2 linked regions of the Lonchura striata genome follow. The protein of the gene in region 2 binds, or shares a complex with, the protein of the main gene of each other region. Links are inferred from orthologs where the notes say so. Each region holds a gene or a part of one and is shown on either strand. Other genes may lie near its edges.

Evidence for each region.
Region 1: the proteins of VEGFC (region 2) and KDR are in contact, whole or in part, in a crystal structure (PDB 2X1W), measured with the Homo sapiens proteins. The link is inferred for Lonchura striata from reciprocal best matches to the Homo sapiens genes VEGFC and KDR. Residues at the interface, in NP_005420.1 of Homo sapiens: Thr148, Asn149, Phe151, Lys153, Phe186, Ile188, Val190, Pro191, Leu192, Gln194, Pro196; in NP_002244.1 of Homo sapiens: Val135, Tyr137, Ile215, Val216, Val217, Val218, Asn253, Val254, Gly255, Ile256, Asp257, Phe258, Asn274, Arg275, Asp276, Phe288, Leu289, Ser310, Ser311, Gly312.

Annotation. Positions count from the first base shown.
Region 1 is NC_134606.1:27,250,326-27,265,494, reverse strand, and holds the start of KDR (vascular endothelial growth factor receptor 2), read left to right. Parts: upstream 1-8,317; 5' UTR 8,318-8,484; coding exon 8,485-8,536; intron 8,537-9,740; coding exon 9,741-9,831; intron 9,832-10,320; coding exon 10,321-10,517; intron 10,518-11,614; coding exon 11,615-11,739; intron 11,740-12,028; coding exon 12,029-12,197; intron 12,198-13,402; coding exon 13,403-13,542; intron 13,543-13,741; coding exon 13,742-13,910; intron 13,911-15,169. UniProt on the Homo sapiens protein: Tyrosine-protein kinase that acts as a cell-surface receptor for VEGFA, VEGFC and VEGFD. Plays an essential role in the regulation of angiogenesis, vascular development, vascular permeability, and embryonic hematopoiesis.
Region 2 is NC_134606.1:34,895,885-34,910,885, forward strand, and holds the start of VEGFC (vascular endothelial growth factor C), read left to right. Parts: upstream 1-8,854; 5' UTR 8,855-9,097; coding exon 9,098-9,241; intron 9,242-15,001. UniProt on the Homo sapiens protein: Growth factor active in angiogenesis, and endothelial cell growth, stimulating their proliferation and migration and also has effects on the permeability of blood vessels.

The sequences.
Region 1 (15,169 bases), about 7.6 Mb from region 2:
TATATATGATTATATAATTTGTCTTTTTAGAATAATCTTGAGTGCTAAAGTTGCTATTATATATGATCCTAAAATCCTCCTGAATAAAGGCTCTGAGCCCTTTGTCTGCTATAAATTGTCTGGCTCTAAGTTCAGCAAGACTCAAGCTTCTAGTAAATACTCCTCTTCTCTTCTAGTAGAATTTGTACTTCAATAATGAAGCATTGTGTCCCAGTGGGCTCCCTTTGCTGCCTGTGGTTTTCATAGGTCAGACTACATGTCCTAATACTTCCTTTTGTCCTAAATGATTATTCTATGAATTTTGTGCATGTCTTGTTTGGGCGTCCCCCTCCAGAAAACCATGTGGAATGTATTTTTTAACCTTTGGTAGGTGACAACCTTTTGTGACACAAACCCAGTGAAGAATACGGTCAGTGCCTGGTCACTTCCTTTCCTTTCCTGTTGATGCTTTTCTTCTGGTCCCACATTGTCACACATCAGCTACTAAATGTTCAGCCACTACAGCCACAGCAGAAAACAATGACAAGGTAGTACAATATTTGCTATGATTTTTCTTCTTGTATGAGAGATGTGAGAAAATAGATGACCAAAAATAGTGTAATCAATCAGTCAGTTTGTTCACAAAGGTAAAATTCATAGAAAACAGAGCTTTGGGTTAGGGTTTCTGGCTTTGGGGTCAAGAATTTGATTGTGAGAATTGAGGTAGCCTGCTTCTCTGGACTGCTGAAACATGATTTGTACCCCTGTAAAGAGAGTATTTTGATCAGCAAAGAAGCTGTGATATTTTTTCTCCCTGGTCCTTTTCAAACCTGACTGATTTGTGTCCTGGAAGGGAAGCCTGAACAGAAGCTGAACTTGCCTTTAGTGGAAGAGTTCTTTTCTTTAGAACAAATTATCTCAGGAAAATGGGTATGAAGTAAAACAAAGAAAAATACTAACTTGAAAAGACATGATCAAATTGTGATGCACTTTTATACCTTGTAAGAAAAGGCTTTTGAGTATAGGTGTTAAAAATCAACTAATGTATTACAATTTTAAAGGGTTTAATCACAATTATCTGCTGTGCAAGTAAATTTTGAACATAAAAACAAGGGTTCCTCACTGTTGAGATAAAAATAATTCTTCAGAGGGACTGTGAGAGCCAGCTGTGCTAGTACCTGAAAAAGTCTTTAGAAGAATGGTAGAGTGATGGATATCCCTCCTAAATCTGTAGGAACCCTTGCTGTGTCTTTTGTGGGTCTCAAAATTCTTTGAGTTCTAAAGTCCCTACATTATATTCCATAATACAGTTACTATTATTTATCCTGGCTGTGAAAATATTTAGGAACAAAAATAATTACCTGGCAGGAACCAATTTGGAAGTATTCCCAACATGCAGTTTAAGTGTACCAGCAAGCATTAGTTGGGAAAGAGATGTCACATGCTCTGTGCCATTGGCTCTGATTTGGGAAAGTCATTTGATGTAATTTTGAATCATCACTATAGAACTCTGCTTGAACTTCAGCAGCTGTTGACAAGTTTCAGAAGTCCTCACCAATTTTTGCCCTCAAATGTCTCCCAGGAGTTTGTAGCTGGAAGTAGGGTGATTTTGGAGGTTGGTGGTTTTGGATTTCTTTCAGTTGTGTTGCTGAACACACAAAAAAAGACAGGAAATCCAGTCACTTCAAGATAGCTTCCAAGAGAAAGGTGTAGAAGAGGTATCAACTCAAACTGATCACATTAGCTCTTCTAGCTGAAAAGGAATGCTGAAAGGTTGTTGTAGGCTGGATGAAATATTACAGTTGACCCAATAAAGAAGTACTTAATTTTAGGCTGTTTTATTAAAGAATGAGAAACCAAAAATTGTATTTCTATTAATTATGAATACATGTGACTTGAATAAACCTGAGAAGACCCTCTAATACCCTCTTCTATTGTAAATTAGAATTAAATATCATCCTTTACAAAGATCTGACAGACCTGATCTGAAATACCTCAACTGATGTCAGTCCCAGACCCTCCAGACAAAATTTTTCAGTGCTTAACTGCCCTGAAAATCAGAAAATGTACCCCATTATCTGAGATGGATCTCCTGTCCAGAAAATTAGACTGATTATTTCCTCTTTTACCTTTGGTGACTCTAAGGATAATTGATCCGGGACCTTCAGCCTGTTCCCACTGGAAGGTTGTTATCACGCCTGTCTGTCTGGTCTCCTCTTCTTCAAGATTGAACGGTCTCAGATCTGTCAGCCTTTCCTTGTAGGCTGCGTTTTCACAATTCCTGACAGCCTTTTGCTCTCCTTTGAGTTTCCTCCAGTTTCAACTCTTAATGCTGTCCTATGAAATGTTGGCAGTTTTTTCCAGTTGTTGTGACCAGTAAATTTTAGGCTTGTTCCCTAGGGAAATAGGACTTACTAATCACATTTTATGTCTGTCATTTTACTTTTTCTATCTACTTGACTCATATTTTTTTAACTCTTCTGCCAATTTCAAGCAAATGTGACAGTGGTTAAATGTATCTAAGATATTAGGTCTCCATTTATTTAATTTAAGCAGTTGCAGGGTGTAGGAGAGACATCTGATTAGAGTGCTAACCAGTGAAAGGTTGCTATATGACAAAATCCTTGGCAGACACTGAGGCACCTCCATAGCAAAAAAGTGCTACAAACAACACAAAACCCTTCAGATTTTTTCTTAGGCAGTATGGGACACACAGACACCCTGGGAGCTGCGGTGCATTGTTTCTACCCCTAACACAAAAATGACTTCTAAGAATATGTTGGATTGGCTGGCTCCTTGTCAGATATATTCATAGTTTTTCTTTATTTTACAAAAAAACCCCAGTAACATATATCTGTGGCAGATTGTTTCCCAAAGTTTGACTCCTACTACTATGGAAATTCAGCTGTGGGAGGCCTGAGTATCTGGGAAACCTCAGACACCATGCCATAACAGGTGGCCCTTTTAGGTTTCTTGATGGTGTTGTTCCACATCAAACGAATTCCTTCCGTATTTTCAGGTACATGGTCCAGAATCCAGGTCTTTGCTCTGTGAGTAGTGTGATACTTGCTCCCTTGTTTTCCTTCAGTGAATATTAAGGGAATCTGTGTAAAAACACAGTCATTTAGACAAAGTGCCTTAGGATGATGCCTTCCATTCCTGCAGCATGGAGGTGAGGACATCCTTCTGAATGCAATCTCTTCACAGGAGGGTATGCAGTGAAAACATGATGCACCAGGAAATTAATACAAAAAATTATTTTGTCCTTCTCCAGCAGTTCTTTCAACCTAGACTTTGAGACTTTTTTCAGAGACTTTCAACTTTGAGCCACAAAAAGAAAAAAAAAGAAAAGTCAAGGGGAAAAAGCCCCCAACAACAAGGAAAAAAATATTGCATGCCACTTCTGCTTGAGAATCTGTAGCTTATCCCTGTCACCAGTTGCCCATCCATTAGCCAAACTGACCAGGGGCCCCAGATACCCTCTGCTTCCTGCTCAGAAAGTGATGCTTCAGAGCTGATTCCTGCTGCAAGCAACAGGGAATCCATAGACTTCAGCCACATCAACAACAAAGGCATTTGTCCCTTCTCCACAAAGCCCTTGCCTTGCAAAGATTTTGGTGGGAAAAAACAACTAGATTCGGTAAAAAAAGGAATAGCTCCTTGAATGAAGGGTGTGTAGGATCCTGTTGTCCTGGCAGGAGTAATTGTGCAGAGTTTTAGAACACAATAGGGACAAGTAAATAAACAATGATATAAAATGAGTTTTTCAAAGGTGTGTCCCTAAAATTGCACATACCTGGAACCATAATTACATGCCTAGAAGTGCAGAGACATATACAAGGTACTTCAGACTAATCTGGGGCTTGACAGCAATGAGCCTGCTCCTCCAGTTTTGTTACCATCAGCATCTAGTCAAGCTAGAATAGAGCTGCTCTGGGGATGTCCACGCACACCAAACTCACACCTCCTGTTTATACATGGACAAACCCAAATACAAAGCATATATCCCTAGATTCCAGCGAAGGTATCAATGTTTTTGGCATACTCTGAAAATAGAAGCATTTGCACCTCTACTTTTAGGCAATTTTGTCTAAAAATTAGTGGGTTTATACCATCTCATTCCTACTTCCATATCTGTTCTCACCTGAGACAATTATTCTTTCATTTCCAGTGGAAGGTTTGATTTTGTCCTTTGGGGTGTCCCTTGCAAACCAACAGGTTTTGTGGGGTCTACACACAAAGTATATATTGTGGTAAATGTAGTTCTGATCTTGCACGCCATACACATGAATGCCATCTCCTTTTTTTGAAGCGGCATCTTGCATATACTTCGCATCTGCCTCATCGAAGTTGATCAGTGTGCTGGGGATGCGTGCCTGCTGAGGGCCACACTGCTGCAGGCTGCTGCAGTGGTGCAGTCTGCAATGTAGACAGAGCTGAGGGGAGCATCCACTCCCGCCTTAGATGCTGAGTGCCTGCGGGCGCGGCTGCGGCGCAGAGGTGCGACCGGGAGGCGGTGCGGCTGCTGGCTGCCGCATTCCAGATGTGTTCTGCATGGGATGCTGACCCCTGGTAAACTTGTTGGGCTGCAGGAGCAGGAAAGCACATAATCGGTGTTGCCAGGGCCAGCCCTTATCTCCCCCCAGGTTGTTACTTGAATAATTAAGCAAACAAAGGGCCGCTTGGCTGCTGCTGCCTCCAGTCGGACTCCTCGGCAGGGCTGTCCGGGAAGCCCGGGCAGAGCCAGAGCCTGGGGGAGTCGTGACAGGTCGGGGAGGAGACGGGAGGCGGCTTGTGCGGCTCCTCTGCTGCTTCTCTGTGTCCTGTTTTTAATGAGCTTTGGCGATCAGAGGAGCAGATGCACAGAGGCTCGCCGGCTCTGCCTGGCCAAGGCGAGGTTTGGTGTCCCCTAGCTCGGACCATTCCCAGGGACCGTTCATGGACACGGAGCTTCCCCTGCGTGCAGGCTGCAGCAGAAAGAGGCTGATGAGCCCAGAGACTGGAACACACCGATTGCAGAATGGAAGCTGCTCTCCCAGGGGCTCTGGGAGATCCTGCGTGTACGGGGAGTCAAACGGATGAAGCACAGAGCGATGCACAGGGGTTGATTGCGTTCTGTCTGTCAGTTCTTCCACAGCTCCCCACGTCTGGTCTCATGCTGAGCTGAGAGCTGCTCGGTGTGGCAGGACGGCTGAAGTTTCATGGAGCTCCTTCTAGCTGAATGCTTCTTTGCTGTTATTGTCTGGCCAAGGCAAAGGCACTTTTTTGAAGCAAGACAAATTTAAAAAGTCTTGATGGGTTTTCCTCTTATCTGAGGCAACTGAGAATGCTGAGACAGAGTATCTTTAGAAGCCATTGCAGGCTGGATTTAGATCCCAGGAAGTTTTTCACATTAACACTGTCTCTGGAGAGGGAGGAAATCCCATACTGTACTCACTGAACTACATTAATATGTTTGGCTTTTCTCACTAGATCCCTGTGGTTCAGCTCTGATGGTCTCTGGTGCAATCTGGACTATGCTAGATACTCTACAAGTCTGAAGGATGACACAAAGGCTGCACAGAGATCACAGCCTAAAAGGCTGGATGAGAAAGCTGCCATCCCTTAAACCACTGGGGTTTTGTACCCAGACATCTGTGTCCCATAATTATCACAGCAACACTATATTTACATGAGTCTTTCACTTGGATTTCTTGGATTTTATGTGCCTGTCTTTCTTCTGTGCTTTGGTTGATTTTTCTCTCAGAGGTTCCCAATGGCATCTTCCAGTGAAAATGCACTTGCAAAAGCTCCATTGAAGTTCAAAATAGAAAAATCAATTTAGCAAAGTACATATGACATCATACATCATGTATTGGTATAAGTCACCTCACATCTTTTCCAATCCTCACCTTCCCCAAACATCTACCATTTTCAATGATACTTGGCTTTAGTTTTTATTTTATGTTGTTCCTAGAGGATTAGTCTCACCAGCACCATGTAAGTAATTTGAATCAGATGAAAAGTCCTGCATCTGTTGAATGACTCTTTGGAATAAAGTTACTTTTGTGCTTAACCCTGTTTATAGGGTTAGAGCCCCATTCAAAGAAGTCACCTTCTTGTTCTCATTGGTACTAAAAATGTCCCTGGTACTACAGGGATGGCAATTCATGCACTGAAGCAGCAGTTCCTGCAGAATTATTGTAGTTACCAAGATTATACCGACAGCCAGGCAAAGTGCTGAAGGATTGTGTCCCATTTAAGAAGCACAGTGTAAAAAACTGAGATCTCACTGGGGTTACTCAGGGAGATAAAAACAATTTGTGATTTTGAAATGTGGAGTTCCCTGTGGATGAGCTACAGTCACAATGTGCAGGCTCCTTGCTGCCAGCTGCTCAGTTCGATGTGTGCACTCACCAGGTTTGTGTGTTTGAAGGGTCAGCCCCTCTTTACTTCCCTTCTTCAGGATGCTGCAGGGCAGAAGGAGGCAGGGGGACATGGTAAATGCCAACGGGCCTGTAGAGGGCTAACATTCATCTATCTTGGCTTAGATGTGCTTAGGACAAACAGTAGGTATTTGTTTCCATAAAGCTCAGGCACCACAATAATTTTCATAAATGAAAGCAGCCTCCCCTTCCAAACCACTCACTTAATAGCAATGACTATGCATGAAAACAGAGCCCAAATGGTATTGCAGTAATCTGTAGCTGCACATCATCTGACTAAATTTTAGAAAAGCTACTTGTTAAAATCAATATAGGACATGTTTTCTACAGCTGCATTTTGGAAGCTCTCATAGGAATGCGGAAAGCATTAAATGAGCTGCCAGCAACTTTACTGTTGTCTATGGATCCTGTAACAACTTCATCTAAATAGTTTTTGACTTACCCCTATAATTTAATTTTCTTTGTTGACTGCCTAAACTGCTTTTGAGGCAAACACTTCTAGCAGGTCATCCAACCCTTATAAATTTTTTTTTCTCTTTGTAGTCAAACCCAGCAAAACCAGCATCACCACAAAAAAGTTACTAAAGATGGCTTTTTTATCAGTAGGTACCTTTGGTTTTCACTAAGTATCTGTCACTAGCACTTACATGCAGTCTAGTTTCAGCAAGGTCAGTAGTTGAACTCACTGCCAGGGCTCCCCAAATCACTCAGCAATACCAGTGACCTGACCTGCAGTATGATGCAGATGGGGGTATTAATGAAGGCTGCCAATATTCTGGTTTAAGAGCTCATAAGAATAGCAAGTGCAGTTTTTATTTGCATGGTGCTGACTTGCTGCCACTTGAATCACATGAGTCTTATTTGACTTTTCATGGATTTTATTTGATCTCTAGGAAAACTTTGGCTTCTCCCATTCCCTGTATCTTTCTGTGAGCAACAGGGGTGTAATTTCAAAGGAAATTACACTCTTTCCCCAGTACAGTAAAACAGCTGGAATTGCATTGCATGCAAAATAAAATCGCTGCTTCATTAACTTAGTCATGGGAGTGGACAAGCTCCCATGCAGATTTGCAGGGAAAGAGGAAAAGGTGGCATATAGAGGTACACATAAGTATATATGTGCATGTATTTATATCTACTTGATTATCTATTTGTTTATATACCTCTCTTTACTGATCTATCTCCCCCATAGAACTTCTATTATGTGTATGGATAACGCATTAATGACCACCATGTTTTTATTTTTCCCAAAGGACTACCTCACAAACTTCTCTTTAACAGTCACTAGTTAATAATTCTGATTAAAAGGTATAGTTCTGGTTAGGGGGTTCGTTTTTTAAAAAATGAACTCTTGGTGTGAGAGGGCAATGGCTATGGCCATGGGGAGCATATCTTAAGAGAGCAGGATGTGAATGCTGATGGGTGGGAAGGGCAGCTGTGGCAGGCACTTGTTGGATTCCATTAGCTGGGATGTGGCCAGTTGGGGTGTTTGGGTACATGCTACATGGTTAGAGGACTCCTCGTTGTGAACTCAGCACTGACGCTGCCAGACACTTCAAACCCGGGGGTACAGTCGCTGCCAGCAGGAACACGGCTGTGTCTCACTGACAGTACCTCATATGGCTGGCCTTTGGGATCTTTCTGTTGGGGGGATTTTAAGAAGCCCCCAAAAAAGCACGGTGAAGCGCCAGACAACGCTGAATTTTACTGCTGAGGCCCTCCTGCTGCCGAGCAGGGAAGAGGGAGAGCTGCCGCTGCCCGTCCGAAGGGGAGCATCCCGGCGGGATGCGCAGGGGGCCCTGGGGCCGGGAAGAGGGGCGGGATCGTGCTGGGGAGGGCGGGGGCTCGGCCCCGGGCCCCGCCCCGGGCACAAGAGGGGCGGCACCGTTCGCCGGGGTCCCGCATCCCCGCCGGGCGGTGCGGGGCGTGCGGCTCGGCTCGGCTCGGCTCGGCTCGGCTCGGCTCGGCTCGGCTCGGTCTGGCTCGGCTCGGTTCAGCTTGACTCGGCTCGGCGGGACGAGGCGCGGCTGCCGTCGGGCAGAGGGTTCGCTCGGCGCCCCGCAGCCCGGGCGGCCGCGGGATGGAGCTCGGCGCGGCGCGGCTGCTGGCGGTCCTGCTGTGCCTGGCTCCAGGTAAGCCCGCGGGGAGCCCCGCCTTACCCGGGTCTGTCGGGAGCTCCGAGGAGAGTGGCGTGGGGATGCCCGGTGCCGCACAGGGCGCGGATGCGGCTTTCCCATGGGTTTCGGGGCTGCTCGAGCGGGTGAGACAGTGCGAGTCCCGGGTGGGACGGAACGCCCGTGGCTGCGGGCTTGCTGACCCCTCCTGTCCTGTCCTCTTGGCCTCCCGTCCGGCCGGCTGGTGCTGGCCCGTCGGAGAGGTTTGCCTGCCACGGCATAGTGTCCTGCCCGCTTGGCTCCAGCATCAGCTGTCGTTTCCGAGAGCAAAATGTCCCTGGAGCCAAACGCGGGAAACCTGTCATCAGGAGGACCTGCTCGGAATGCAAGTGATTAAAGCACGGGGAAATGCTAGCGGAATGGGGAATGTCCCGGTCTGGCCACGCTCTCTTGCTGCCCGTTGAAGCCGGCCAAGCTGTCGCGGCTGGGGCTGCGGCTCGGCCCGGTGAGGCGGGATTCCTGAAGGTGATGGCAGCAGCTAGGGCGGAGTGAAAATCTTTCCCTGTGGTTCTCCCAGATGTTGCACAAGCTGGGCTGGTACCTCAGAGCAAGCACAGGCACCCAGACCGCAGCCCTCACAAGAGCCAGTGGCCCCGGGTGGATGCGATGCGAGCCACTGTGCCGATAGTCCGGTCGTAATACAGTTTTGCCTAACTTAGGACGAAAGAGATAAACTTAGAAAATCATGGCATAAAATAAATTAATGGGGTCTCAGATTTGTGACGAAATGCAAATTACTTTCTTTGCATAATTCATTGATCAGTAGTCTCAAAGAAGTATATTCAATTTATTATGAGAAAAGCTGGTAATCCCAAGGGAGTGAGATCATCAGATGAAGGTTCACTTCGTTTCAATGTCCCACATCCTCTTGTTAGACCTTGAAGTTGGCAATGCAAGAAAACAGGAACTCCACCCTGGCTGACTGAATTGTAGTGCTCTGCAGCTAGCTCCTGACCATCTGCCTTCGCTTCCTGTTATGACAGAATTTTTGAACTTTTTGGGATGTGTGAAAAATCATGATTTACCCTTCACTGCTAAATAGGTGATGTTAAAGTGTCCATTTAAAACCTGATTAATATTCCTGTATATAATACTTTTCTGATTGAGTAGCACTTACTTGTTTATTTGGTTTATTAGAGAGGTTTCATTCATGTTTTTGCAGGTTTATTTATTTCTCTGGATCAGCCAACCCTTAGCATCCAAAAAGATGTCCTCACAATAATGGCAAACAACACACTAAATATTACTTGCAGGTAAGGACAAGTCTGTTCAGCATGATTTTGATTATTGGTTATTTCTGAAGTGAGCTTTTGTACAGAATCACACATGATGTGATCTTTCTCCTGTCCGGCCTCCTGTTTTCTCTCCACTCTTTGTGCCTTCTGCCTCACTTTTCTCTGACAAGCTTTAGAAATTATGTGGGAGGGCTGCAGCAAGAGAGAACTGGGGAGTGTAGGGTGGCTGGGGGAAGAAGCATCAGCTGTGTCCTTGTGGATCCTGCTGGTGAACCATACTCTCAACACTCTCTTTTGGTGCTTTGTCACTTAGATTCAGCAGAATGTAAATCTCAAGTAGCTTCCTCGTAGCTGTTAGCAGTAGGTTGTCTGTGTGGATTTGTCCTACATGGTTTGATGCTCTCTCTACGTGACGGGGTGAAGCCCATCCCTCTCCATAGCCACAGAGACTGCCAGGGCTGGGGTTCATATCAGAAGTGTCTGCTGCTCTAACATTTGCTTTCCCAGCGGTCAGAGGCCGCTAGAATGGTCATGGCCAAGCAAGCAGAGCAATGCTGAGAAGCGTATCTCCGTGACAGACTGCAGTGATGGCCCCTATTGCAAGACACTTACTGTGAGCAAAGTCATTGGCAATGACACAGGAGACTACAAGTGCCTTTACAGGGACAGCCAGGCAGCTACAACCATTTATGTTTATGTTCAAGGTAAGTGCTAACACAGCTCTCAGATGTCTCCTTTCCTAGTGTCAAGAGAAAAAAGGAACATGGTGTCTCAATACAGTTTTGATGCTAGAATTTATTAATCCTAGAATATTTGATCCTGTGAAATATTTTTCTTGTTTTCATGGTGAGTAATTAAATTCAGGTATTCTAGTTGCCATCAGCACAAAACCCTTTGAGCCTATAATTCTGAACTGACCTGCCATATGTAGTACATGGTCTGCTGTTCTCTACCCAGAATTTAGCATACATATCTCTGCTGTGCTCTGATCCTGTTCTCATGAATGCAGAGTTACCTCTGACCTCAGCAGGAGTTTCATATGAGAGAGGATTACAGAGGTTTTATATTTGTTAAAAATTACACATCCGATCCCATGTACGATTTGTGCTGATACCATTAAAAAAAACCCAAAAACCACCCAAACCCCAAAACAGAAACTTTCATACATTTGCTGACTCTGGTGGTAAAATCTATTTAGGCTGTAAGAGCTCAGCTTTCAGTTGAGTGTTGCAGACACTGCAAAGCCTCCAGTTATACACTCAGCTTCAATAAGTGCATTCATTGAGGCATCTGCCTTTTTGCTCTGATGGCTTCACCCTCGTTTCCATATGCATCCTGCTTCCTCTTTATTGTTAACTTATAGTTACCATTTTGAGAAATGAGACATAATTAAGTACATGACTTAGCTTGTTTTATAATATCATGGAGCTATTTTTTGGTGTTTTAGTCTGACTTTGAAAAGGATGCTGCCATCAGGGGAGTCAGTGTAACATGTCACAACTTTTAACTGATATTTCCTGTAATACTTATGCAAGGAAAGTCACACTAGGGTAAATCAGTTTTTTGTTGACAAAAGGACTGCTGTAGCAGGAAGCCATTCTCAAAAGTGCACTCTGCTGCAGATAACTGTTTTGAGAATAATGATATTCTGAATCTGGGGGGTGGGTTTCTATAAAAACATGTACCTCCCCTACTTAGTCTCATTATTTCAGTGCTTTATGACATGGAAAATAATACAACTGACTTTTCTCGATAATCATGTAGTGAATAATACCCACTTATCAATTAAATATTATTCTAGATTACAGATCACCATTTGTGACTTCAGTCAGTGATCAGCTTGGCATTGTATACATCACTAAGAATAAAACTGTGGTAGTGCCGTGCCTTGGAACTGTATCAAATCTCAATGTATCTCTACATGCGGTAAGGCAAAAGCCTATTATTTTTTCAAGAGTTAGTTGAAGTTGCTGTGGCATAAATATGTTGTTTGAAGTTAAAATAGATTTCTTAAAACTTCTGTCCATCCATTGTGACATTTATAGCTTGTGATCACAGGATGAATGTTGTACTTGCACTCTCAAAGCATGTACTAATTCCCTGAGCTAGAATGTTAAAATGGGGGCCCTGCAGCTGGGGAAAATGCCGGAGGTGAGAATTCAGGGTTCTTTGATTTTTGAATACTGACTATGTGTTTTATCAATATTCCAAACAGAAATATCCAGAAAAGATATTTGTTCCTGATGGTAAATCCATTTCATGGAATAATAAAAAAGGCTTCACTATACCCAGTCATTTAATCAGCTATGCAGGCATGGTCTTCTGCGAAGCTAAAATAGATGATGAAAGCTACCAGTCTGTGATATACATAGTTGCAGTTGTAGGTAAGCCAAAGGTTTTTATTTCTCTATAACCAATGTTCTTTTGCTTTCTACAGCATGCTGAACCAATTACATTTGGTTGGACACTAGGTTATTCAATACTGACAATGCAGTTAATGCAAAATGGATGTTGAGATTTATATCACTTTTCTTTTAAATGCAAAGTATTGTGTTTTTTCTGGTTGATCATTGGGATAAGTGCTTCTATTTTTAGTGTTTTATATTGATGCCAGGGATTTAATTTTTTTTTTCTGACAATGCAAACCTTTTTCCTAAAATCACTTATCCACATTCTCAGTCACAGTGGAAGGAAATGAGAGGCAAGCAACCATCAGCAGCAGATGAAAAGAAATTGCTCTGAGTGGGTACCAAGGGAAGGGTGGATCTGAAGGTCTCACTGTGAGCTGGGTAGTCTTGTCTCCCTAAAGACTTGTGTCTCGACTCTCACAGGGTTTTATGCTTTCCTGGTACATTTTGTCAATTGTTCATCATACCCCAGAAATAATGTGATAATTCTGTGGAGGCTTAAGCCTGAACTGAAACTCAGCAGCTCTTCCTCTTTTAGCTGAGGACCCATTTCAAATATCCAAATGGTACCAAGGCAATCTGTCCTGGCTTGTCAGAAAAGCATGAACCCCCCTCTTTACTCCATGCAGAAGGCTTTTACTTCTCCACCACATTCACAAGTTCTCACTCTGATTTGGAGGAATTTCAGAATATCTGTAGAATTTCTGCATTCAGAAGTTTTTGTTTTGAAATATTTTACTGCACAAAGTAAACTTTGGATAATGTTGCTACTGCCCCACCATTATTCTCTATAAAGTTCCTGCTTACTGCTGGGAATGGGTATATAATCTCCCTTAGTTTTAGATCTCACAAGGATGAGGAGTCTAAGGCAGAGGAACTGTGTGAGTCACTGTCTCTTGCCTGCTCCCACCACTGGAGGGGTTCTGATCAAGTCCACACATCCTGCTGTGTCACTGCCTGACACGGGTCCCAGCTGGGAAGTGCTCAGGGCAGGCACCTCACTTCTCTCCAGGCTCCTTTGTACACCCATTATTGTGCTGCACTGGGTCATCAAGGGGCTTTTTTGTAGCTGGGGTTTTGGTGGGAATTTTGGTGAATTCAACTAGGAAATTTGATGCTGAGTACTGTAAAGAAACCTCTTCTTACCCCCTTGTTTTGTGTGTGCCTTTGTCTTTCTCTAGGATACCGAATTTATGACCTGACAATGAACCCACATGATGAAGTAGAGCTGGCAGTGGGAGAAAAACTTGTTCTCAATTGCACTGTAAGGACAGAGCTGAATGTGGGAATCGATTTTAAATGGGACTACCCTTCCATCAAGGTAAAGTTATACTAACTTACAGGTGCCTTCATCACAAAGCAATTTGACTTATTTAGGTATAATATCACTTCTCCCTTTAAAACATTGAGAAAGAAGATGATAATGCACAACAAAATTTCTGGTATGTACAAGTGTGCAAAGGGCGACAGAAGGAATAACAATGACATTTCCAAACATCTCCATCTTTTGTCTATTACAGGAAAAACGTGCCACTATTAGGGATGTAAAAACCACTGCAGGAGAAATAAAGAAATTTGTGAGCACCCTGACCATTGACAGTGTGTCCTTAAGCGACAATGGTCGATATACTTGTGCAGCATCCAGTGGTCGTATGAACATGAAAAACAGCAGTTACTTCGTCATCCATGGTATGACATTTTCTCCTTCAGTTTTGTTGGTTGTTTCAGATTAGGGATTAATTACTGGGATGCAGAAGGCATCTCAATGATGAATCAAAAGACAGAAATGAGCCAAACTGCAGCGACAGTATTTATCTTGCAACTAGTATGGGATTATTTTTATACCACAGCCTTAGTTAATGGTAAGATTTTAAAGTATGCTGTATTTTAGTGAAAGCTGTAGAATTCCACCAGAAAGGGGGGCAGTAAAATAAACTGATATAAGCCTCCAACCCTCTTCCGCATTGACCTCCTTAAGGTCCTGTAAAACTCAATTTGTGCAGGTGGCTTTGTACAAGGGCTGCCTGTTCTCACTCTTGGTGAACTTAGGCCAGATCTTGGTGGCTCTGTGACACAAGAGTCTGGGTCAGCATGAATGAAGCTAAGAAAATTTTCAGTTTTTGCATTATGAATAGATGAATCAAATAGAGTTTTGGTGGTACGGAAATGATGCAAGGGAAACAGCTTTGGCTAAGTGAATAGATAAATATGAGGCCACATCCTACAGCCTTTTCTCAACCCCCTCTTGGGTACAGCCCCAGCTCCACTAACTTACTTATAGAAAAAAATTACCAGTATGAGAGTGGCTCATTTTTAATCACTGAGTCAGACAAAGAGGTTTATATTTTGAAGGAGGCTGATTTTCCTGAAGTCTGATTTCAGGTGCCAGAATATTCATTGCACTTTTAGAATGAAACGGAAGACTTTCAAACTTATTGTGGGCATAGTGATTCAAGATACACTGATTTTTTTTCCTGGGTTCTTTCTGTTCTGCTTTTCAAGAACCAAAATGAGATCATGTGCTACACTGAGTATACCAGATACTAAATCTAAACCATCCTAAATCTTAGTCAAAAGGCTAATTTAGTCAAAAGGCTAATCACTGTCTTCTGTCCAAATGCAAGTTTATAACTTATAACAAGTAATGTAAATAATTTCAAGGTACTCTGTGACTGCAGTGGTTGAAATGCATACTTGAGTTTTTAGCTTTCAAAACTGCAGTTTTGAGTAGTCTAATTTCCTGGAATAAGTATATTGAGAGAGTTTTATGATATGTATGTGTATATATGTATATACAGGTCTGACAGTTGGCACACTATCCTGAGAGCTGAATCTTGTCTCTGCTTTCCAGAGCTCCTCAGTGAGGGGACTGGTCTGTTCCCCTGTGTGAAGGAAAGGACTAGGTTTTCATGGTGGCATCTCTCCAGAGCCCAGTTTGGAGCCAGCTG
Region 2 (15,001 bases):
AGGGACTTAGAAAAGCAGATGTGATTTGAAAGAAGGCTATTACAATGTAAAAGGATATTAATATAATGAATTATGGCTCCTAATGCCCTCCAGTTGTCTTAACGATTTCAGTGCAAAACCTGAAAACTGTGGGCTATAAATATTAGTCTGTCAGATGAATAGTTTCAGAATTGTGTGGAAACAAATATTTTTTTTTACTATTTTGATTTTTATGTAGTTTTATCATTCAGAATCCTAGAACTTCATAGATCCACTAATAAACACCTATTTTCATTCTAAAGTATTAGAAACTTAGGAGTATTATTAGGAGTAACCTAAGAGCAAAAAGTGTGGTGAAGCCATCTGCTATTTGCAATGCCTTGGAAGCAGAAAAATGCTTTTAAAACTATAGCATAACTTGTCTCATCTCTCTTGTGGCTGTCTTTGTAGTCTCAGCAGCAGCACCATGTAATTAGGGTTCCCTGAGCTTCATCAGGTTACATACCTAATATGGCCAGCTTCTCTTTGCATGTAGCTGAGCTCATGGGCTTGGAGGGGTTGTCCTTGACTGTATACTAGTCCATAAAACAGAGTAAAGTAAGTTAACATTGGGTGGTCTGACAACCTGACCTCCTCTACCTCCTCAGCTGGGGCAACTCAGAACCCAGCACCACATTGGCATGTTCCCTCATCCCAGAATCCCTCCATGGCAGAGGTGTTGCTCCTGACTGGTCACATCTCAAGGGAGCAGAGAAATATGGTAGAAGGATGACTCAGACTTTGCTCTATCCTGCTTAAATGAGATATCTATGAGTGGCCATACAGTTACATAAAAGGTTATTTTTGACTACTCAGAATTATAAAGCAGAAAAAGTAAGCAAAGGTAACGTCTACACATCTCTGAAAATTATTTTAATTTTAATGTAATCATCTACAGTTTGGAACCAACCATTTTTAAAATAAAATATTTGCAATTTCTAGCTTTTTAAAATATACATGCTTGTCTCTCTGCCTCCTCCTCCTCTCTCCAGATCAGCTGGTTGCCCTGAGAAGATGCCATCACTGCAGGGAGTCTTACTAAGAAGCTGGGGTTGGTTTTAGTTTTGAATACACTCAGGCTTATGTTCATTATCAATAGGGAAGATTAGGTTGAGTTCCACAGCTGGAACCTGCTCCTGAAAGTGGTCTGTTGATCTACCCTTTGCACTTAAGAATTTTATACTGGGACTGATTAGTTGAAGTGTCCCTGTGGAGTATAGCTGTAGGTTTGTGATGGGATAGGAATTCAAAAAATAGATTAGGCCCAGCATGCTGCCTGCTTTTTAGGTCAGCAGTAGCTGCTTGAATGCAAGTTAGAAAGGCATAAGCAGCCAGAAGGACGATGGATGTGCTCTACTTTGTGCCTGTTTTCCTCAGTGACAGTCTCATACCAGTTGTATCAGTTACCCAGTTTAGCCTGAAGTGTTGCACATCAAGACTCTGTTCAGAGATACATTAACAGTTTGTGCAGAAAGTAGGAAGCAGTCAAGAACTGGTCTAAGCATGTCTCTTATTGCATAAATTCATTAATGATAATAGGGGAAATTAGCATGGCTTTCATTATATCACAGAGAAGTAGGCACCTCTTCCACCCAGTGTTAAATGTTTAGGAAAATGAAATTTTCTGGCCAGACAGTGAAGGAAGGAATTATTTGGGGCCTCTGATGCGATCTCCATATCAGTGCACCTTTGTTCTTTAATTTGTTGTCATTGCTTTTTCTTGTTTATTTTTTCTTAGCAGCTTTTGAAAAGTGAAAACGTTAAGGATTGAATTTCAAATTCTTAGAGATATTCCTCATCTTTCTAGGTCTGTGCCCAGGATGTATCCTGAGATCTAATAGCAACAATAATGCTCTTGATTCAGCACAAAACATACAATTTTTTGAAGGGAACATGTAATGGTTTTTATTATGCAATTGTTGAGCGGAGAGCAAAAGCTTCCTGGTAACCAAGTTAAGCATGCTGAAAATTCAAACTTAGTAATGGTAACTTGCTGATTGAAAGCTGGTTTGCAGGTTTCTCTTTTTGCTTTGTCTTATTTGTTACTATATTAAAAAAAAAAAAAAAAAAGAGGAAATAATATATCTGAAACTGCTGCTTTATTGTTTTTGTGTGAGATGTATCCAAAATGCTGGTACATGGAGTTTGGTTTGGGTTTTTTCTCTTTCTGACTGAATTATTAAATCTAGTTTCAGTGAGGATGGCAGTAGTTCTCTTTATTAATTTAATTGCAAACTATGAAGACTATTTTACATATTTGACTTCCTTTCAACTGTATCTGTTGGATTGACTTTTGGTGTAATAATGATGTGTAAAAATAAATATTTTTGTTATGACTAAGTATAGTGGTCTGAACATGAGACTGTAAGGCAAGAACAAATTTACTCTGTGGTTTGGACCTGAATCAATGAGAAATTGATTCAGTTTTCCTCATATATAAGATATGTCCTATGGGCTTAGATAAACCATCTGTCTAGATTGTTTATATTTTTTTTTTCTTTCCAACAGATACAATTAAATATGCTACTTAGGAAGAGAACAGTGTGTGTCTGCTCCTCCAGTCAATTTCCTTCATGCTTTTCCACTATCTGTATTCATTGAATAAAATATCCAACACTGGACTACCCCTCCCTTTCACCCCTCCAGCTCCCCTTTACTTAAAAATCATTTTATGGTCCTGATGTCCAGAACTATGTCTGATGCATTTGTAAACCTCTTGTAACAACAAATTCCAGGGGTTCACTACCTGGCTTATCAAGGAAAACAAAAGAAAAATCCAACAAACCCAAACCAGTATCTAACCTAAACCACAAATCTCTCTTTCATAATTTTTAAGTTAAACTCCAACTATTTTCAGCCATGTGAAAGATGAAGTTGGACTAAGCAAGAATCTCAGACCTGAATGTCCCCACATTTTGGTATTTATGGTTTCTGAATCAATATGATGGGCTGAAGCAAACCCTGCAGTGTGGGTCAGAAAGTCAGGAGGGAATTTTCAAGCTTTAAACTTTCCAATAGGTCAATAACAATACCTTTTCTGACCACAAGGAACCAAAGGCAGCACAGGGGCAATATACCTCTACTTTGTTATATGTAGAGATGGGACCTAGGGAGCAAGGACAGCAAAGACACTTAAAATTGGAAAGTAATTTTCATGAAATATTAAAATTACTAGAAAAAAATAGGTAGTGGACACCTTTCTCTTGGGAAATATGAGTGTTCCACTTATGTAGGAAGAGTCAGATATACAGCTAGAGCAAAGGGAACATCTGGCTGGATAGAAAATCCTTAAAAATATACAAAAATTACATGCTATTGCAAGCTTAAAATGAATCTGCCTAAAAAGCAAATACCACATGGGAATATACATACAGAAGAATGGGTTGGGGTGTTTTGTTCTTCCCAACACAGTCAGTTTTGAAGTACCTTTTTCAGGGGTTCATCTTTCAATGAACCACAGGATAAATGTTATTCAAATGACAGTTATAAGCGTAACTTTGGAAAACAAAAATTTTTAAAGAATTTGAAAGCACTGACCTTATTTATCTTAAAACTAGAAGACTAGGTAAGGAAGGCTAAGTGTTCCAATCTGCAAAAGGCTAATTTAAATAGGAGAAAAGAATTTACTTTTGTAAAGAAACCCTATTAAGAAAAAATTAGGATCATTAAAATAATGCATTTACACTATTCTGGGTTTGGAAGTGAACTGGTCTCAATATTGTTTGAAAATATTTTTAAGGTTTTAATAATTCAGCATTTTACATTTGCAAGGTTTAGCATATTCCTAATTTCTGGAGTAGGCAAAATATTGAACAGAAAGTTAGAAGCACTGAAGAAAAAGAGAAGGGATGCAGCAGAGATCTAAGTGAAGAGGAGGTATACAGGAGCAAAATCAGGGGAAACTGCATCTGTTTAAAGAAATGATTCTTTCTGACATTGTTTTAGAAATTACATAGAAATGTCTCTTGAACTGACTTGGGGCTATCTTGCCCTGTTGTTTTGTAAATTTTACCAAATTTTGTAAGTATAACTGGGAAGAAATAGATTTTGAATAAATTATCTCATAGCTTGTCACTTGGAAAACTACTGAAGGAAGGTATGTATCATGCAAAGTGTTTGTATGTTTAGTGGTCATGTGCTGTTAGCCCCTAATATTTTTGTTGAATCTAGAACTGTTTATTTAGTGACATAGCTTCAGCTATACACAGTTTAGACTGTGCACAGTTTTCAGTTAAGAGGCAGCATAAATTTGCAATCAGTCATTGTTTATAGTCAGAGATTATAACAATGAACATCATCAGTTTACAGGATGTTAAATTAATATTCTATGGATACCTGTTGTGTGTGACCTTACATCATAAGAGGGACGAAAAACTATGGTAAAGAGAAAAATCATAATATAAGTCAGCTGAATAAAATGTGTGCTAGGGCTTTCTCTATTCTAAGCTTTATAGATATGTAATTTGCTTTGGTTAATTCAAACACTTTTCTTCAGTTGTAGCCTGGTGCTGTCCATTTTTGCATCATACTAACTCCTTTCTATAGCAAGGGTTGAAAGGGTTTTACATTACTGCAGTCATTTAGTCAGTAACATGAGAAATTCTAATGTTAAATGCCAATGGTTTTGATTTTAACAGTTTAAAAAGGGAATCCCTGAGAACAAAGAAATTCCAATAATCCTATAATCCTTGAATATCAACCGGTGTCAAAAAGCTGAATTCTAAGGATTCTTGTCTTGTTAATTAATTTTCAAAAGGGACCAACTTTTATACTAAACAAAAGAGAAATTTCTGGATAACAAAGTGCAGGCTGCTAGGTCAAGCATTGCAGAAAATGATCTTGCAGCAATGATGTCTCTCAATGAACTGAAGTTATTTGTCCTGGCAATAATGTGACTGAATGCATAAAACTACATTTCAGGAGTCCTAGCTGGAAGTTTGGTGTAGAACAGTTTCCCATGGGGTTTTACCAGTGAGGATGTCTGATCAAAGCCAAGGAAAATATTTCAGTAGCTATTGATGATCTCCAAGCCACCATGCTTAGATCCTTTTCTAGGATTATATAAGGAAATACTAAATGAGGGCCCATAGCAAGAAAAAGACAGGGTTTTAAATGTGCTTTTTATGAGTGAGGAAGGACATTACTCTCATAATTAGTAAAACTGGCAGTACTCTTAGTATTTCTATTAAATTATGTTTTATACAAATAAGGAATATACAGAAATGGACTACAGCCTCAAATCCACACAACCCCCTTTTTCAGTAGTGAAGTCCTGTGTAAATCTGGTTACACTGAGTAGATAAGCAATATGAAAATAAATGTATAATAAAACTGGATTGAATGATTCAGTGGCAGAAAATGTATTAGTGAGCAGTTGTTGTGTCCAGTTTGGCACTGAATTAGAATTACCTTTTCTTTATTTTTTTCCCCTAAACATTTACAACTAATTTACAGTATCTACACCAGATACTGATATTTTAGACACTGATCAATATCCATTTTTTTTTTTTTTAAGCATGAGAGGAAGTATGGTGGAATCCCATCTGTAAAGGAGCTAAGGAAGCTTACTTAATTCATCTTTTGGGATGACTCCAGAATGGCACTTCCACAGTCTTTTGAGTTACTGCACACAGGGAGCAATGCTTTCTAACTTTGAGATTTAGATTAAACATAAATTCCATGGAAACTTACCAGTAAGACTGTTGTATATTAAAAACAAATCATGTTATCTGATTTTAACTCTTGGGTATGCTTCTGTCTGTCTGTTTAATAGGAGAATGAAAAGGAGATTGTTTTAAACCAAACACAATAATTTAAAGATAATGGAAATCACATTCTGTGAAAAGAAAACATTTGTTAGCATTTATTTCTACATTAAGAAAGTAAACCTCATTATGAAAGCATGTTACTGTTTTTCCTTGCTGCTCTTAACTCTATTTTATTTCCACTCTCTGCTCACATTTCTTGCAGTGAGTTTTCACACTGCTAACAAATGGATAGGAAACAGGCATTGAAATGCATCTGTGTTTCAGAAGCAGAATATATCTGAAAGATGCACATCAGGCATTTCTAGACACAGCAGAGGTGTCTTTTTGGCAGATGTATGTTATACCAACTTGAACAAGGGATGGGGGCCTCGATTTTTAAAACTCATTCTTGAAACAATACTAAAAGAATTTGTTTGAAAGAATCTTACTTCTGACATAAAAGTTGTGTTTTTATTTTTCAACAGTAGCTATTGTTGTCATTGAAGAATATAGGACATTAAGATCCAGACCTGTGTCTTTACACTGTTTGGATTTCTCTTTAGTCATTGGTCTTTATAAGGTCAGCTTACTGTTAGTGTACACAGTGTCACTTAGAATTTTAAATGAATTGTCCTGTGGGACAATTTCTACTTAATTTGAAAACAAGAGGAGAAATATTAACCATTATGTGGTGGAGAAAGTATGAAATATATTTTAATTTGTAAACCTTCAAATTAGCCATCTTTTATGGAATGGAGAGAAATACAATCTAGATTAAGGAAAACCTTAGTGTCCCAGAGCCAATGGAGTATTTATATGTTTGTACACAGAACATATAAACTATCATAGATTTCAACCACTTTCTTGTTAAAACTTTGATTAGTCTGAGACTTGAGCCACCATGGCTATGATTACTAGCTTTCAGTTATGACACTTGAAACTTGCTATACAGGGTAGTTGGTGGAAATGCTCTATTACATAAAAAGCCTTTGATCCCATGATGGATGTTCTATGAATTGTGGGGGGAAGAATGAAAGTGCTGGAGAACTGGGGAAATAAATAATGAAGCCAGCTGATATTATGATGGCACAGCAGGAGTGGTATGTTTCACCCTGTTTTGTGATTTAGTTACGCGGCTTCTCCTTGCACAACATTTACTTATTGAAATAATATCTGTACTTGATTTGTCAGGCAGGCTTTAATAAAGTGCTGCAAAAGAACTTCCTCTCTATACCAATCTGTGGTACCTTTGAGAGATTTTTAATATGTTTAAACTCAAATCAGCAATGCTGTGTTTCTGTTTAGATGGATTTTGCATCCTGGACTGTGCTCTCTTTAGGCTTTAATCCTATGCTTTGATCTGAAGCGCTCTAAGGGTCCAGTGAAGAACAATGATCTTTTTTAATTTATGTATGCTATTTTGTATCTTCATAGCTGTTCTGCTCAGCTTCTACCCCTGTCTTTATTTCATTGCTTTACTTTGTCTTGAAAGTATTTAGAAAAAAATGTTAGTGCTTTGATAATTTTCTAATGACTATATAACCTCTTAAAATATAGCCCTATTTAAACTTTAGATTTCATTCTGATTGTAAATGAAGTGTTACTTTCTAGCATCAAAATATTTGTGTAGCAGCATGCTGAAATATCATCTCTGAAATGATAAAAAATAAATAAAAACAACAACAACAACAACAAAAAAAAAAAAAAAAAAAAAAAAAAAAAAAAACACAAAAAAACAGGAGGTATCTGAGCGCCTGCCAGAGACATCTTTATGTATAACTCCCAGAATAATAACATAATGGGATTCCCAAAGAATAAGAGCAGTATAACATGAGCAGACTACCAGCATCTAGTCAAGGCAGTCAGGGATCTGCCACCACTGTTGGTTCCTATACATTTAATTACCAAAAGATGTACACAAGTGATGCAGAAATAAATGAAAAGCTTTTTAAATATTTACACAAGGGTCAATTAAAAAAAACCCGAAAGAATATAGGAAATATAACCTTTTTCTTTTGTGTAGTTGGGATTTTAGCAGGCTGGAGATTGTTACTTTGATAGCAATACACATTCTTTTTAAACTTTTAATCACATTGTAACTGGAACACAGGATGCTCAGTTTTATTTAGAGCTCTGAATGGGGTGTTACTTCTCTTCGAAGACGGCTCCAAAATGTCATTGATAGGAAGGCTACAAATAATTATGGTTCTCTTTGGATTACTGTTTCTAACACGGCAAAATCCTTTATTCTGCAGCCAAAAATAGCTGCATACTGTCTTAAGTGAAGCTGCCAACACTGCTCAAGAAGTAACTGATTAGGATTCACAAAAAATCTCTTGCATGATTTCTCTGCGTGAGTTTTAGCGAACTTCACCCCTTGGCTTCCGAGCCAAATGAAACGAGCCGGGCACTTTGCTTTTTCCTCGGGGCTGGGACTTGCCGCGGGCTGCATCCCCGCGGAGCCGAGGCCGGGGCTGGAAAAGCCCAGCTCTGCGGGACCTGGAGCGCTCGCCTCCCGTTCCCGGCGGAGCCGCGGCGCGCCTCGTGCCCGCGGCGCGGGGCGATCGCTCCCCGGGGCGCCAGCGGCCGGCGGCGCCGCCGCGGCAGCAGCAGCGGCTGGAGGAGGAGGCAGAGGTGGCGGAGGAGGAGGAGGCGGCGGCCGCGGCCCCTCCGGGCGCGCAGAGGCGCAGGCAGAGGGCGCTTTCGCCATGCGCGGCCGCCGCCGCCGCCGCGCAGCCCCGGGCGCCGCGCACCCCCCGGCCGCGCCGCCGCTGACAGGCGTCCGCAAGCGCGGCGGGCGGAGCGCAGCGCAGCGCGGCGGGGCCCCTCGGCACCGAGCCCCCGGCACCGAGCCCCCGGCACCGAGCCCCCGGCACCGAGCCCCCGGCCCGGCCCGGCCCGCGCGAAGCGATCGCCCCGGCTGCGACCGGCCGCCCGGTCCCGCTCTGCTGCTCCCTGGCTCTCTCTCTCCCTCCTTCCCTTCCCTCCTCCTCCTCTCTGCGCTTTCCACCTCCCCTGCTCCTGAGTGAGCGCAGCCTCGGATGTCCGGTTTCCTGGTGGGTTTTTTACCTGGCAAACTCTGGATAACTTTGGCGAGAATTTGCAAAGCGGCTGGGAAAGTTGGGAACTCCCCTGCAGGCGCATAGGAGCTGCTGCTACCGCATCTTCTCCATCCCACGGATTTTACTGCCTTGGATATTGCGAGGGGAGGGAGGGGGGAGAGGACAGCGAAAGAAGGGGGGGAGAGGAAAAGAAGGAGCCTGATAATTTCGGCTACATTCCTCCGACTGCCCCGCGGCCCCGCTCCGCGCCCGCTCTGCCATCCCTGCACCATGCACTTGCTGGAGGTGCTCTCCCTGGGCTGCTGCCTGGCTGCCGGCGCCGTGCTCCTGGGACCCCGGCAGCCGGCCGCTGCCGCCGCCTACGAGTCCGGCCAGGGCTACTACGAGGAGGAGCCCGATGCGGGGGAGGCAAAGGTAAGCTCGTGCCCCCGCTGTAGATGCCAGCTCCTCTGGGCATGTGTCTGCGAGTCCCTTTGAACGGACGGCTTGGGAGTTCCACCGAGGAAAAGCTGTGGGAGAAGGCTTTTGAAATAGGGGGGGTTCCTTAAAGTGAGGGAAGGAAATTTTTTTAAAGTATCTGAGTTTTCGGGGTTGCTGGAGGGCGGGCTGCACGGGGAACAACTGCGTTTGCACAGGGACGCGCAACACCTGATGAGCAGAGGCAGTCCGCGGGCTGCGCTTCGGCCGTGGAGCGGGGACTGCCCGGCCGGGAGCGATCCCGATCCCGATCCCGATCCCGATCCCGGCCCCGGCCCCGCCGCGGGCAGCGGCCCTTGGGCTGCGGCCGATGCCCCCGGGCAGCTGGGGCGCGCCCCGCAGGCGCCTCCGAGCGGGGTCCTGCGCTGGGAGCGCGGAGGGAGGGCGGGCTGAGAAGCGCTCGGGGGAGCAGCTGGGCACAAGAACGAAGCGGAGACGTGGGAGGACGATGACAGCAAAACCCTATACTTCCCATTTGTTGAGAAGTCTCTTGGAGTTACTGACGCTTTGGGTGAGCTGCTGCTGCGTGACGGAGTTGATGGGATGTGTAAGGTTACACTCCAGTCTGAAAACCTTAGTTCTGCCCAGACGCATGGTGAAAGTTGGGCTTAAATTCTCGGATTCCAGACACAAATACTTAAAATTCTCGGTTAATTTTTGTTTTCATATTAAGTTTCGTAACATAAAACTCAAGTACCTTTGGTACTTGTGGTTATGCAGTTCCTGGTATGCTGATGCATAAAAAAGATGCATAGTATGTGGTTGTATAAGCATGGCATTGTAAAGAAGACCTTTGATGTCTGTCTTACCCTCATCTCATTGTTTTGAAGATTTCTGACATACTTATTAAAGGAATCATGACCTAGCTCATTCATTATTCATTTCAGTATGGGGCAGGGAGGGAGTTTTGTGAATTAAAATTTAAATTAATATTCAGATTTTTTTCTCTCCTATGCTATTTTCTTAAGTGATTAAGAGTTTGGGAGGTTTTACTGTAACTACCTAGGAAATCAAGTTTTGATAGTATATATTAGCTGCACTTCAGGTGTGCAAACTGTTGTACACAGAAGTCATACTATACTTTTCAAATAGTAATCTGCATGGAAAAGTTTATGATTATACTGCAGTCTCTCTTAAAATATTTTAACTACAACTCAATGTTTACATTGCAATATTCTGAATGCTAATGTGCTATCAGTGATCATATTGCTTAAAAGTGTATAAAGTGTTTATCCCAGTTTATATTTTAAAGTAGAAACTGTAAGCCACTCTTACTGCTTAGACTATTTATAAAAATTAAAAAAAAAAAAAAAAAAGAAAGAAAGTCAAAACTTAGTGGAGGGTAAAAATACCTCAACTCCTTCCAACCCATGACTGTAAGTCAGTTATTTACTGGGTGAAACTGGCATTTGAGTTGTAAAGCCTTGGAATACCTTATGCTGGAAAGGTAGAAAGAATCCAAACTGGAGCAGAGCACATACTTTGTGTACTTAGACTGCTGAGGTAGAACAGCTGATAGTGAAGGTACTCTCCTCAGTGATGCTTTTGCGTTTCCGTGCATATGGTGTGGAAAGTTACTCTGTTTCTTGAAGGAACTTCGAAGTCTTTGGGAGCTGCCACTGTAGTGCATTGTGTTTAAGTGCAAGTGCTCCCTGGAAAAAGAGGAACTGTCAGCAAACCAAAGGAAGAAAAGGTCAAGAGACCAGGGAGTGGGATAGCATGTGTTAAGCGATTACATTAATAGGAAAACGCTTTTGTGCCTGACTGCTGCTGAGTAGTAAGTAGAGAAAGATTCTGGATCCAAGCAGACTTAGTTATGTTGGAAGTCTTTACTTATGAGTTTGTTGCTTTTGCTGGAACTGTTTGAGTGAGTGAGTACTGCACATATTTGTTTCTGTGAATGTCAAGATGATATCTTAGGTAATTATGAAAGGATTAAATAAGTAAACTGCAAATAATTGTTTCAAGGAAAATATCATTGCCAGTAAAAAGTCAACTGCTTGAACTTCGTTAACTTCAAAGAAGTTCATAGATGTTATGTTTTTATTTCCCATCAAGGTGCCATGCTGCTGCATGTTAAACTGATGCCTAAGTGCAGGTCATACAGGCCATTAGGTCAGCTCTTCATGCCATGTATTTATTTCTCTTCATTCCTATTTCAAGAGCTTTAGCTTTAGAAAGCATTTTAAAAAGTGTGAATGAAGTTGGGGCTCCTCCAACATAGGAGGAAAAGCTGGCCAGAAAATAGGGGTATTGTGTTTTTAAGCAGGTAATTTTCACATATTAAACTTGTCTAGAGATTTGCAGGAACTTGGAAGTGTTACAGATATTAATAGTAGTAGTTCTTCCTACACAGCTCTTGCAAGGGCATGTTCTGCAGCAAGTGGGCACTGATAAGCTTGTGTAACACTGCCTCATCCCTCTCCACTCCTAACCCCCACCCCTACCTTTTTTTGCTTTTTTTCTTTTCAGCCTAAGGGTAAGATTCGTTATTTGACAAGCTTTCAGGGCCCAGATTAATGCTTTTCAGCTGAACTGTCAGCTCAGTGGGATGGGAATGAGCCCAGCCCGTAAATCACCTCTTGCGGATTTCCTGCAGCACAGGGGGCTGTCCCCAGGAGCCGACCCCCTCGCAGCCGCAGCCCGCCTCTCCCGGCGGGGCAGGAGGACGGGCGGCCCTGGCCTCTCCCCGCCTGGGTGGCTTCTTGCGGAACCTGGCACTTCAGTTGCCTCTGTGCTCAGGGCGGGCCCGGGGGAATCAGCCCTCCTGCCCCAGATTTCACGCCCTTTGGCAGGGACCCGCCGCCCCGCAGGGATGCTCGGAGCAGCTGCAGCAAGGGCAGGGTGAGCTGTTTTGCCACACCGGTGGCTTGAAGCTTTAGCTTCTCCTACTGTCTTTGAGTGTTTTAATAACTCTTATGTTTGTTCTCTGGCTTTTGTTCTTTTTGTGGTTTTCAATAGGGAATGTGGGGTGAATATACACTGTCTACCTGGGAGAGTGTTATTTTAAAGAAATAAAGAATGCCTTATTGTTTGTTTGCTGAAAGTTTAAAATGAACTGAAGGAACTACGTGGGTATTCCGTGCAGGAATTAAATTTCTTAGGTCATTGAAATAAAGGCGTGTCAGCAGCATGTACCTAGACTCCATTAATGGCAATGAGGTAACAATAGCAGGAATAGGTTATTATGGTAACAATACCTGGAATGAAACTATATAGTTGGCAGGGTTTGCCATAGCTGCACCATCATTTTTTTGCATAGTCTTTAGAATTATGTGACTATGAAAAAGCAATATTGATCAATTGTGCCATGTAGTTTGAAAAGGTTTAAAACTATATTTATGCAAAAATGTTTGGTTTTGTATTAGAATGGGAATAGCAAATGAAAACATATTTTCCTATTCTGAAGCACATCAGAAAATTTCACTGGGGCCTCTTTACATAGACAGGAATAAAGTACAGAACAGTTTGTACTATGATTCTTGATTTAGGGTTTTTTGCAATGTAAATACTTGTGCTTACTTGAGCTTCATTTTTATTGGATGGTACCTGAGATGTACCTTTTTAATTTAATTATTATAAAATTATTTTAAAACTGACCTAATCATACAGTGCTGCTCATTGATGGCTAACAGAGTTTAATACAGTGTGTTGGTTTCCTGCTGTCACTGTATCTCCATGGTACGATCTCAGACCCATCACTTTTATGGTCACCCGTAAGTTTACCAAGAGCCTTACTCCGTGTTCCATGCACAGGTGAGAGATGAGGCTGCCTTGCCTGTTCTGAAAACAAGCACACACCTCACTCCCCGTAGTTAAGCAGGGCTGAGCATGTAGGGAGAAAGATATTTTTTCCTGCTGCTGCTGTTTAATCTCCTGCAAATTTTGTCATGTGTATGTTTGTAGCCACTCTCTTTTCAGACACATGAACAAAAAAAAGATGCTTTTTTTTTTTTTAGAACCGTTATTTGCAGCAGATGCAACGGGATGAACATTGTTAGTAATAATTATTTTAAAGACTAAGCAATGCTTCTGCAAACATAGATATTAAACTTTGGTCTGGCCTTTTATATGACTAAAGTACAGTAGTAAGCTCAAAGAGATCACTGCACTTTCTAGTTCTTGGAGTGCATTCCTGACTAGTTTAAGCACACTAGTGTGCCTGGGAGGGACTTCAGCTGTTTGTCTGCAGTAATCCCATGCATTTATGAAGGTTATAAAAAAACTGTGGAGGTCATTTTAACTGCAGTGTTTAGAGGCATACAGAAGCATCCCAACAAAAGCATTATTTTTATGCTCACTTAGGTTGTGTGTATTCTAAGTCTTGCCTATTTTTCAAGGGTGTGTGTCCACTTCTTTTAGTAAAAATAAACAATGACTTAGACTTCAGACTGTTGTAGCTGAGGGTGGTCGTAATAATAGTCTTCCATTGATACCCTGCATCCAGGATAGAAGTCTGTTAAAAACCTTGTGTTCTGCTGCTGCTTTTTTAAATGTGGTCAGTGATTCATTAAAAAAAAAAAACAAACCCTTGGAAAAAAAGGGAATCCAACTAAAGTCACACTGGTTTCTTATCAAATGTAATATCCTGTTTAATGTAAAAAAAATATGTTACAGCTGTTTGTAGAATGAATTATAAGACATTCTAAACAAGATTGTCCCTGAAAGTTGCAAGTTCTTTTATAGACTAAGTTGCTTCTTAGGAGTTTTGTTTGTACTAAATTTTGCTTATTGAGTAGGATAGATATAATTATTTTCCTTATCTATTATACATGTTTATTACTTTTTAAATTTCACCTTGGTTCTATTCAGAGTGATAATGTAATACCAAATTCTCCTACATGTAAATGTGTTATCTACTTCAAATAAACTAATGGCTGCATAAATTGCACCAGAATTTTAATCTAAAACATTGATAACTTACAGAAGCATGGATGATTATTTGTTGAATTTGTCAACTTGCTTGTCTTGTTTTGTGTTTATCGGTCTCCAGAAGTTCTTTTGGTGACAATATTTGTGTTGCTCTCCCTCTTTGTTGCATTTCAGACTTTAGTTAGGAACTAGCTACAATGTAAGTAATTTATCCTTCTATTCTTCCATTGTAATCATCATAAATCAATCCCCTTAACTCTGTAGTAGTTTGTTGGTTATTTATTTATCCTGGCTTGTTCTAAGATACCTATAACTTCTTACAACTATTTAGAGACTGCAGTTGGCAGTGGAAGGAATAGATATTCTAGTAAGAAGCTCCTAAGCTTTCTAATATCTAGTAAGAAGCTAAAAAGCAAAGTAACCCAAGAGAAATTGTGTTATTTGGGGGAGGAAGAGAAAACAGGGGGGAAAACTTCTGATAAGGAGAAGGAAAAAGATTATAGCAGTTATTGTATTTTGGCTGTATTGTAGTCTTTACTGAGTGTAGATGAGCATGTAATCATTCTTCATGTAGTTACTAAGGCCATATATCATCTGCAACTAACTTTTGGGATCTTGATCATGGTTAACTTCAATGAAGAACGATTGCTTGGGGAAGTTAATGACATGAGTTACCTGACACTGCTGTCACCCTAAGCTCTGTATTACTCCATACTGTTTACATAATGACTTTACCTACTCAATGACAGTTTTCTGATAGCTTGACCTTCAGAATGCAGCTTAAAAACTGAAGGCGTTTTATATCTTGCTCCTTACTGAACTAAG